Daphnia pulex: one gene and its partner. The protein of the gene in region 2 purifies or fractionates together with the protein of the main gene of each other region. This does not show direct contact. Links are inferred from orthologs where the notes say so. Each region holds a gene or a part of one and is shown on either strand. Other genes may lie near its edges.

Evidence for each region. The genes of interacting proteins can lie anywhere in the genome.
Region 1: the proteins of dnaJ homolog subfamily C member 3-like (region 2) and dnaJ homolog shv-like purify together in Homo sapiens (affinity purification with mass spectrometry; 3 studies listed by BioGRID and IntAct, with this or other methods). This does not show direct contact. The link is inferred for Daphnia pulex from reciprocal best matches to the Homo sapiens genes DNAJC3 and DNAJB11.

What each region holds. Positions count from the first base shown.
Region 1 is NC_060017.1:5,991,432-5,994,866, reverse strand, and holds dnaJ homolog shv-like, read right to left. Parts: upstream 2,117-3,435; 5' UTR 1,938-2,116; coding exon 1,879-1,937; intron 1,793-1,878; coding exon 1,399-1,792; intron 1,335-1,398; coding exon 1,192-1,334; intron 1,127-1,191; coding exon 912-1,126; intron 846-911; coding exon 583-845; 3' UTR 501-582; downstream 1-500. Other genes in the region: maternal protein exuperantia-like, read left to right, coding at 2,739-2,747, 2,916-3,104. UniProt on the Homo sapiens protein: As a co-chaperone for HSPA5 it is required for proper folding, trafficking or degradation of proteins.
Region 2 is NC_060023.1:5,722,014-5,726,967, reverse strand, and holds dnaJ homolog subfamily C member 3-like, read right to left. Parts: upstream 3,205-4,954; 5' UTR 3,106-3,204; coding exon 3,015-3,105; intron 2,937-3,014; coding exon 2,626-2,936; intron 2,560-2,625; coding exon 2,416-2,559; intron 2,351-2,415; coding exon 2,169-2,350; intron 2,083-2,168; coding exon 1,932-2,082; intron 1,874-1,931; coding exon 1,661-1,873; intron 1,594-1,660; coding exon 1,445-1,593; intron 1,390-1,444; coding exon 1,274-1,389; intron 1,210-1,273; coding exon 1,076-1,209; 3' UTR 868-1,075; downstream 1-867. Other genes in the region: mitochondrial import inner membrane translocase subunit TIM14-like, read left to right, coding at 3,320-3,322, 3,398-3,526, 3,613-3,831. UniProt on the Homo sapiens protein: Involved in the unfolded protein response (UPR) during endoplasmic reticulum (ER) stress.

The sequences.
Region 1 (3,435 bases), on a different chromosome or scaffold from region 2:
AGGGCTGTAGCTGTAGGCCTAAACGAAAAAGAAATTGGAAGCTAATTGTCCTTATTCCATTGAACTGCATTAAGTCTGTCTTTATGCAGATGCTTTAAGTTATCTTATTTATTTTTTCTGACATTTACTAATCAAACCTATAGAAAATATATTTTTAGAATTCTTCGTTTTTATTCCACATGCAAACGACGACAGTTATTGGTTGCATTCCATTATTGGGTGGCTACATCCTGTCTCATTATTTTTTAAAGGTATTTGCAAAAAAAACTGTATACTAAGAAAACCATAATATGATATGAGTCCGCTGCTCAGCGAATATAACGCTATTCATTTGTACGACCCTTAAAAAAGACCCCCAAGATTGCCTCCCCTACAGTTTTTCTGGAGAATTTCAAATCCGATGAGAAATGTCAAATTTATGCGGTGCCGAGCTATATCCTTGTGTGGCATACAACTTAAACCGGGAATTATGGCTGTCGCAGAATGAAACAAGAAGTAGATCGTAGTGACACAGCGATTTTTTTTTTCAATAAAAAAAAAAAAATTGTAAAAATTTACATGCACGAAATGCATCGAAGAACTTTAAAACCCTCTGAGGCCATTGTACACTTTGTTGATTGAATCTTGCGACAGCAATTGCCTGAGCTTTTCCTTGACCTCAGTTGAGAGTTCGTCTTTCGGGAACTGCACGTCAAATGTTACGTAGAGCATGCCGAAAAGATTGTTGTTCTCGTAATTTGGCATTCCTTCACCCTTCTTACGAATGCGAGCACCTGGCCAAGTCACTTTGTCACGGACGATATGTACTTTATGTCCATCCAAGTGTTCAATATCTAATTCAAAACCTAAAACAGAATAGACCGTTATTTATCAAGATTTAAAACATTATTCGTTGCTGCGCTGCAACTTACCGGCCAAGGCATCCGCTAAAGAGATGGTAACATTGGTATACAAATCATCTCCTCGGCGTTCAAAAGTGGAATGTGGAGCTGTTTGAATTCGTAGACGGAGGTCACCTGGCTCTCCATCAGTGTGTGGTTCACCTTCGGCAGTAAATCTCTGCTCCAAACCGTCCGTCATTCCTTGCTCGATTTCGACTTCGAGAACTCGTTCTTCATTGACAAGCCTGTTTCATACAAACATCATGAATAATAAGTTGCTATTCGTTGTTAAGTTTGATTTCTCCATTACTTGACATTGGGGCACTCATCACAGACAGCTTGCTGCATCATTTGGAACCTTCCTGGACCTAATTGTCGGGTTACCATTTCTTGCCTGCAGTTGCACTTTCTAGTACCTTTTGCAGGTTTTAGAACAGGTTTGTTGTGTGTTATCTAAAGAATGTAAAATATATGTTTAAAATCACTTTTCTTCTTTACTTTTTAATGAAAGCATTACCTCAACAAAGTTTCCAGAGTAAAGTTCTTCGAGAGAAACAAAAAGATCCATCACAATATCTGCTCCTTTTGCAACCTCCCTTTGACCCTGGTTACCATTACCCCCAAATCCAAACCCAAAATCACCAAAAAAACTGGCGAACGGATCCATTCCACCCCCACCTGCACCTTCCTTTGAAACACACTCTTCACCACAGCGATCATAAAGTTCTCTCTTCTCTGGATCGGAAAGAGTCTCATAGGCTGCTCCAAGGTCTTGAAACTGGGCACTGGCTTTTTCAGGGTCTTCTTTGTTTCTGTCAGGATGAAGTTCTTTTGCTAATTTCCTGTATGCTTTCTTGATTTGGTTAGTGTTTGCTGATTTTTGTATTCCCAAGATTTTATAAAAATCTCGTCTGTAAAAACGAAGAAAAAATGCTCACGTTAGAAAATCGTCACAAGTTAATGCCGGTTACAAAAGTAAATTGGATTCGCTACCTACCCTGCTAAAACGGTTCCCAGTCCAAGGCAAATAAATAACAATAACACTTTCAAGTGCATTTTGAAAAAAAAAGTTTTAATTTGATTATAAGTTAGAAGCAGTGTCCACGAATTAACAGCCTAGGTTAGACCACTACCACAATTAACAACAGCAAATATTACACTTGTTCAGAATGTATCAACGCGCCAGAAAATAGGAAAGGACGTCTGCAGAATACTGGATTCAATGTGGGAAAAGCTCATTGGTCGGTGGGGTTTGGTGACGTATCGTAACTATAGACGCCACAGGGTGTTTTGAAATGGTATGCATGTCGTCATGTGTAGCGTTGGGGAAACATCATAAACACTGCACTCCATGTATATTTTCCCTATAGTCCAAAGTTCATGTTCTCGAATTGCCCATTTCGTGTGAGCGCCTCTAGCGAGTGTGTCAAAATTTCCCGATAGGGATTCTATCGCCAAAGACCTGTTTCCTGACCCAACCCAACCCAACCCACACCAACAGATGGCGTTGTTCCTCTCAGTGAGATAGGAAAGTTGTTTATTTCATTAATGTTTTATACGTTTTTTTTCTTAGAGTTAAACAATTAGGAAATTATGATCATCTTGTGCAAGACAAGGTTTTACATGGAGCCGTCGCATTTAGATTTTTATATTGCGACGAAATCATAATTATATACTCGAATTTGTGTTTTCGTGTTTTTCTAAACTGCCGTTAGATGGTTCTGACGCATTGCTATAAGGCCGTGCTATATAAACACAGCCTATTATCTAGTCAACTCGGTCTACTGTTTTCCATTTGCAGTCTTCATTCGAAAGTGAAGTAATGGTATTCTCTTCCACATCAACCAGCGGCCATCAATGGCTCAGGTAAAATTAATTAACTAATCAATTCCATTCAATACCACAAAATTGTTAAAGAAAAGGGGAACTGTTCTTGAAGACTGCCTAAGTATTCTCTTTGATCGCATTTGTTTTTAACCACTACAAGTCTGTTGTTGAATGCTGTTTGATTATCGATAGTGTTTTGTGTTGCAGAATAAAATTACAGGAATGACCAACAACAGTGAAGAACAACAGACCTCATCTTCCACCAAGGAGACCATCATAGAGGTGATAATTCAGCCACCAACTACAGAGGCCAAGGTTGAATCTGATGCTCCCCCCGCTGTGATCACCACTCAGCCAGCACAGCCAATGCCTGAACACGATGACAGCATTGCTGTGGTCATGTGGGAAGCCACCGTTTCAATACCACATTGGTTAAAGAAAAGGGGAACTGTTCTTGAAGACTGCCTAAGTATTCTCTTTGCTCGCATTTTGTTTTTAACCACTACACTGTTGTTGAATGCTGTTTGATTATCGATAGTGTTTTGTGTTGCAGAATCAAATTACAGAAATGACCAACAACAGTGAAGAACAACAGACCTCATCTTCCACCGAGGAGATCATCATAGAGGTGTTAATTCAGCCACCAACTACAGAGGCCAAGGTTAAATCTGATGCTCCCCCCCCCCCCCCCCCCCCCCGCTGTGATCACCACTCAGCCAGCACAGCC
Region 2 (4,954 bases):
CTGATTTCCCTATGCTATTTCACGTTTCGGAAAGAAAAAGCTAGGAAATGTCAATTACTATAAAATTTTAAAATACGTACGTGATATTTCCCTTCGAGAAGAGAATGCCTTTTTTATATTTTTATGTCATCTTATTATTCTCATATTATTAAGGGAAATTACTTGGCGGAACTTGGCGCCAAACAATTTTGAATTCGAGTCTTTACGGATGCAAAAGATAGCGCTACCGGACTGTGGCAAATCTCAGCAGCAAAAGCAAGGGTGGGGACGGGGGTCAAATCTCCTACATTCTATTTCAAATGCAATTTAAAACAGAATTTGTGAATAAAGTAGATGCAAGCTGCCTACTCGGGCCTCGGGGCCTGTATATGCCTCTAAATTCTAAAAGATAGGAGGAAGAGCGGCATGCATGGGAAATCAAACCTTCAATACCCACAAGCATGAATATTGAAGTAGGCATTTTACTTAGGGATTGTGTTTTCAAACTATCCTAAAACTTTCAACTATTTCGAAATGAACACAAAATTGCTGTAACAGAAATGCTAGTTTATCTTTTTCCTTCTTGTTCGTTTTCAATCTAGTCGGGTTGAAGGTCAATTATTTAAAAAAAAAACGGGTTGGTAATTCTGAAGGTGAAAGATAAAATACTAAATTTCGAAATGACATAGTGGCACCTGAGTAAGCACAACAACTCTTGAAAAGTTTAAGCATTTCATCTTATTCTATCCGTTGAGTTATCTTGGCGAAAAAGACATCAATAGGTCATTTTGGACATTAAACATACGTTTTGATGTACAAACACATGACTGGCGTCGAGGAAACGTTTCTAAATATTAGCACCTCAGATTGAGCCATATTCGGCAAGTATTTGTGACCTGTACCATTATTTAATCAGATACCGGTAATATTCTATGTACAAAATTCACAGGAAGGCCAAATCGATGAAAATTGTTGAAATAAAAAAGAGGAAAAAAAGATAAATGTCAGTGACCCATTCATGACGAGACTTTAAACGATCTTTTGAGACAAAAAAAAGTTAATTTGAAACAACGAACCATGTTATTTTGTTTTTAATTTAATTAAAGTGGAACTTGAATTGGCCGCCATGGAAATTATGGAAACCCCCCTGTTGGAAAGGATTGAAACCTTGGCCTTGTTGGGATTCAGGATCTAATGGGTCCTCGCCATTATCATACTTTTGTCGCTTCTCTGTTAACGAAAATCATGAATTTAGATTAAATAAATAATGGGGGATATGTACGGCAATTTTTACCTGGATCGGTCAAAACCTCTTTAGCTGCGGCAATATCAATGAATTTCTTTTCTGCCTTTTTCCTAGATTCTTCGTCATTCTGGAAGTTGTCTGGATGCCACTGTTGCGCTTGTTTTCTAAAAAACACACAATAAGAAAACTTTCTTTCCAGCATGAAATGTAGCTCATTACCTGTAGGCTTTAACAATTTCTCGTTTGTTGGCGTTCTTTTTCACACCGAGTATTTTATAATAATCACGTTTCTTTGCTTGTTTTTGAAGTTTCTGAACTTTTTGCATTCCTTCCTTTGCTCTATTGAATGATTCTTCGATTTCTAATGCCTAAAGATAAGGTGCTTGATGATTAATCCAAGACATCAATATATCAATATGTTAATTAATAATTTACCTTAGCATAATCTTGTTGAGCCTCGTCGAGCATATCAAGAGCAATGTAATCTTCAGCTCTGTCGCACAATATCCTCGGCTCTGTGTGCCGAGCTAAAGCTGAAGAGCAGAACTCGAGACTTTCCGAGTGTTCACCTAGTTGAAGATGGCAATGGCAAAGTTTATCTTCAGCCAAAAATAATAATTCTGATACGGTGGGATCCACTTTCAGGACCTATATGAATGGTTACATTGTTATTTATTGTGGAATTTAATAATTCAAAGGAAAATACTTTTTTAGCTGAAGTGATGCATCCTTGGTAGTTGTTGTCATTAGAGTTAGTTTGCAGATCCTGCACAAGCTTTGCCACTTTCTTGACTTTCTTGTAATGAGGAAAGCACTCCTTGTGTTCAGGATCAAGTTTCAAACATTCCCTAACTTGGCTGTAGAAAAAATAATTTAAGGTAAGCAACTTGTATCATATTGACAATATTATGCAGAACAAAACAAAAAACACAAGAATAATTACTTTAGAGACTCTTCTGGTTCTCCTAAGCCATAATACAGTTTAGAAAGCTTCATGAAAGCGCCGGTATTATCGGACATCAATTTGGTAGCTGCTTTTAAATCTGAAATAGCCTTTGATGCCTCTCCAATAGCTAGATAACACTCTGAGCGCATCTCTCGCAAACCAATATCCCAAGGGCAAATCTAAAGAAAGAAAATGTTAGCATAGTAGCAAGAAATCATTTGCAAGAAAGTTTATAAAAACATACATCAATAACTTGGGTTAAGAGATCAATGGCATGGTGGTAATCCTTGTCACTGAAAAACATTTGAGCTTGCATGTAACTCTTCTTCAATGATTCAATTGCTATGTAATTTTTGTTGACTTCACTATTTGTTGGTTCCTTTTTAAGCTGTGAAAGATAGACATATAGGAAATATTTTTTAATTAACTTGACCATAATAACATGTATACTTACAACTTTTTCCAACTCAATATGTGCCTCATGCAAACGCCCAAGCTTCATTAGGATATTTCCCTTCTGAGCTCTGGCTTGAATGAAATCTGGTTGGATTTCAAGAACACGATTCAAATCTTCTAATGCAGCTCTTGCTCTTCCCTGGGCAAGATATACAGTAGCTCTTCTGTATAATGTTAAGTAGTTAGAAGGATCTCCTTCTAGAGCTGCATGGAAATGGGTGAGTGCATCTTGGAGTTGGCCCTTAGCCATCATTAATTTACCAAGCTCTAAATGCTTTTCAATTTCCGAGGGATTGGCGTTTCCGTGAACTGTATAATGAAAAATAAATACATAAGACGTTTGAATCACAAGGACAATTTACATGAGTTGAAGAAACCGGCTTGTACCTTCGATGATTCCGATGCTAACGAGACAAATTAAGATTGAATACATTTGTCTTGAATGTGGGCCCCAATCAGCCATTTTTAAAGTTATCATTCTATTTTTTAAACTTAAGAGCTTTAAGAAGCCACAAGGATCACTTCAGACTGATAATAGAATAATCGTCTGTGATGTGGCCCAATCAGAAGACATTACGTGACAAACAAAGCCATCTGTTGTTTAGAATTTCAAGCTCGTGGGTAGATATTGAGTAACAGAGCAGACAACATTACAAAAACGTGACGAAACCTCTTGTCCTCCGAACGAAAAAATGGTAATATTTCAAAGTAAATTTTATTGTGTATAGTGAAACTAAAGTTTTGCTATTAATGTCTACTATGTAATTCAGTCAACAGCGATAGTTGTTGGTCTTGGACTGGCTGCTGTCGGATTTGCTGGTCGCACACTGCTTCGATCTGCTCCCACAATGACGACGAAGTTTAACGAAATACTCAAGCAGTTTCCTATGGATACTGAGGTATTAGATAGAATTAATTGTAAATGTTGATATTTTTCTACTTATGGTAATGTTCTTATTATCATTTTTTCAAATATTTTTTGTAGTCTCTTCTTGGAAGCAAGTACTACAAAGGTGGTTTTGATGCCAAAATGTCCAAAAGAGAAGCATCTTTAATACTTGGTGTATCACCAACAGCCAACAAAATCAGAGTGAAAGAAGCCCATAAAAGAATAATGCTTGCAAATCACCCAGATAGAGGTGGCTCACCATATTTAGCAGCTAAGATAAATGAAGCAAAAGATTTCATGGATAATTTGAAATAAAACATCTTTTGTGCAGGGGAGAACTATAGATTTCATTGTAAATAATCTAACTTTAGTAACATTTGTTCAAATAAAAGAGTCAACAGCTTCAATAATTGTATGTTTTGTATAATCAATTATTATTCATTTAGACAATTTGCAATTTGGAGGATGAATGTAGTTTGTTTGCTGTTCAGGTAAAATTACTATGATTGATTCAGCTAGTATATTTTACAACTTTTTCCAACATACTCATAAAGATGTAGAAAACAAAAATTAAAATATTACATTTCACTAGGAACACATAAAGAGAAACAAAACGGGCCCACGGGGAGATACCAAATGCCCGAGGCTATAAATCGGTACCGTTTGATTTGGCAACATTGTTCCATCTTTTCTTAGCAGTTAACAGACGAAAATACGTTTTTCAACATTATTGTCCTGTCGCTCTTGGATTCTTTCTCCAACTCAAGAGTCTTAAGAATTGTTGAGGAAACACCAATAGTGTTTTCAAATAAGGCTCATTTGTTAATTAACTACAGTCAGTTAAAGTTTATACTTCACGGTGATTAAAATGAAGCCAAATGTAGTTGTTGATGAAATGTTTCCTGAAGGTTAGTAGTCCACCATTCACCATCGTGATTAACATGATGATTACCACAGCCAATATTTTTATGGATTTTTTTTACATACATAGGTGCTGGCAGCTACATGGACCTAGATGAGGTAAGCATTAATCAATTGATTTTAAAAATCTAGTCTAGATGTATAGTAAACTGATTTCCCATTCAAATCATTTGTTAAATATTACAATTCCAAAATATATTCAAACATGTCATCTGAAAATCATTTGATAGCATTACAAAGATCCTAGACAAAGATACAAATTTTTTTGGAAAAACAGCAATTAATTGAACACGATGTTAATAATACCAACTTTTTTCCTTTTATATTCTAATTTAGCTGTTACTTGCCATTTTAAGATATCTAATAAGTTTATATCAATGTTAATTTAGCAATCTGCTGGTCCCTCTGGAATGATTGTTGATTTGACATCAAATGAGAAGGCTGTCCATGGTGATTTTTACAATGGTTTGATAAAATCTCATGTTTACAAAGTATTCAGTAATAAGAAAATTTTTCT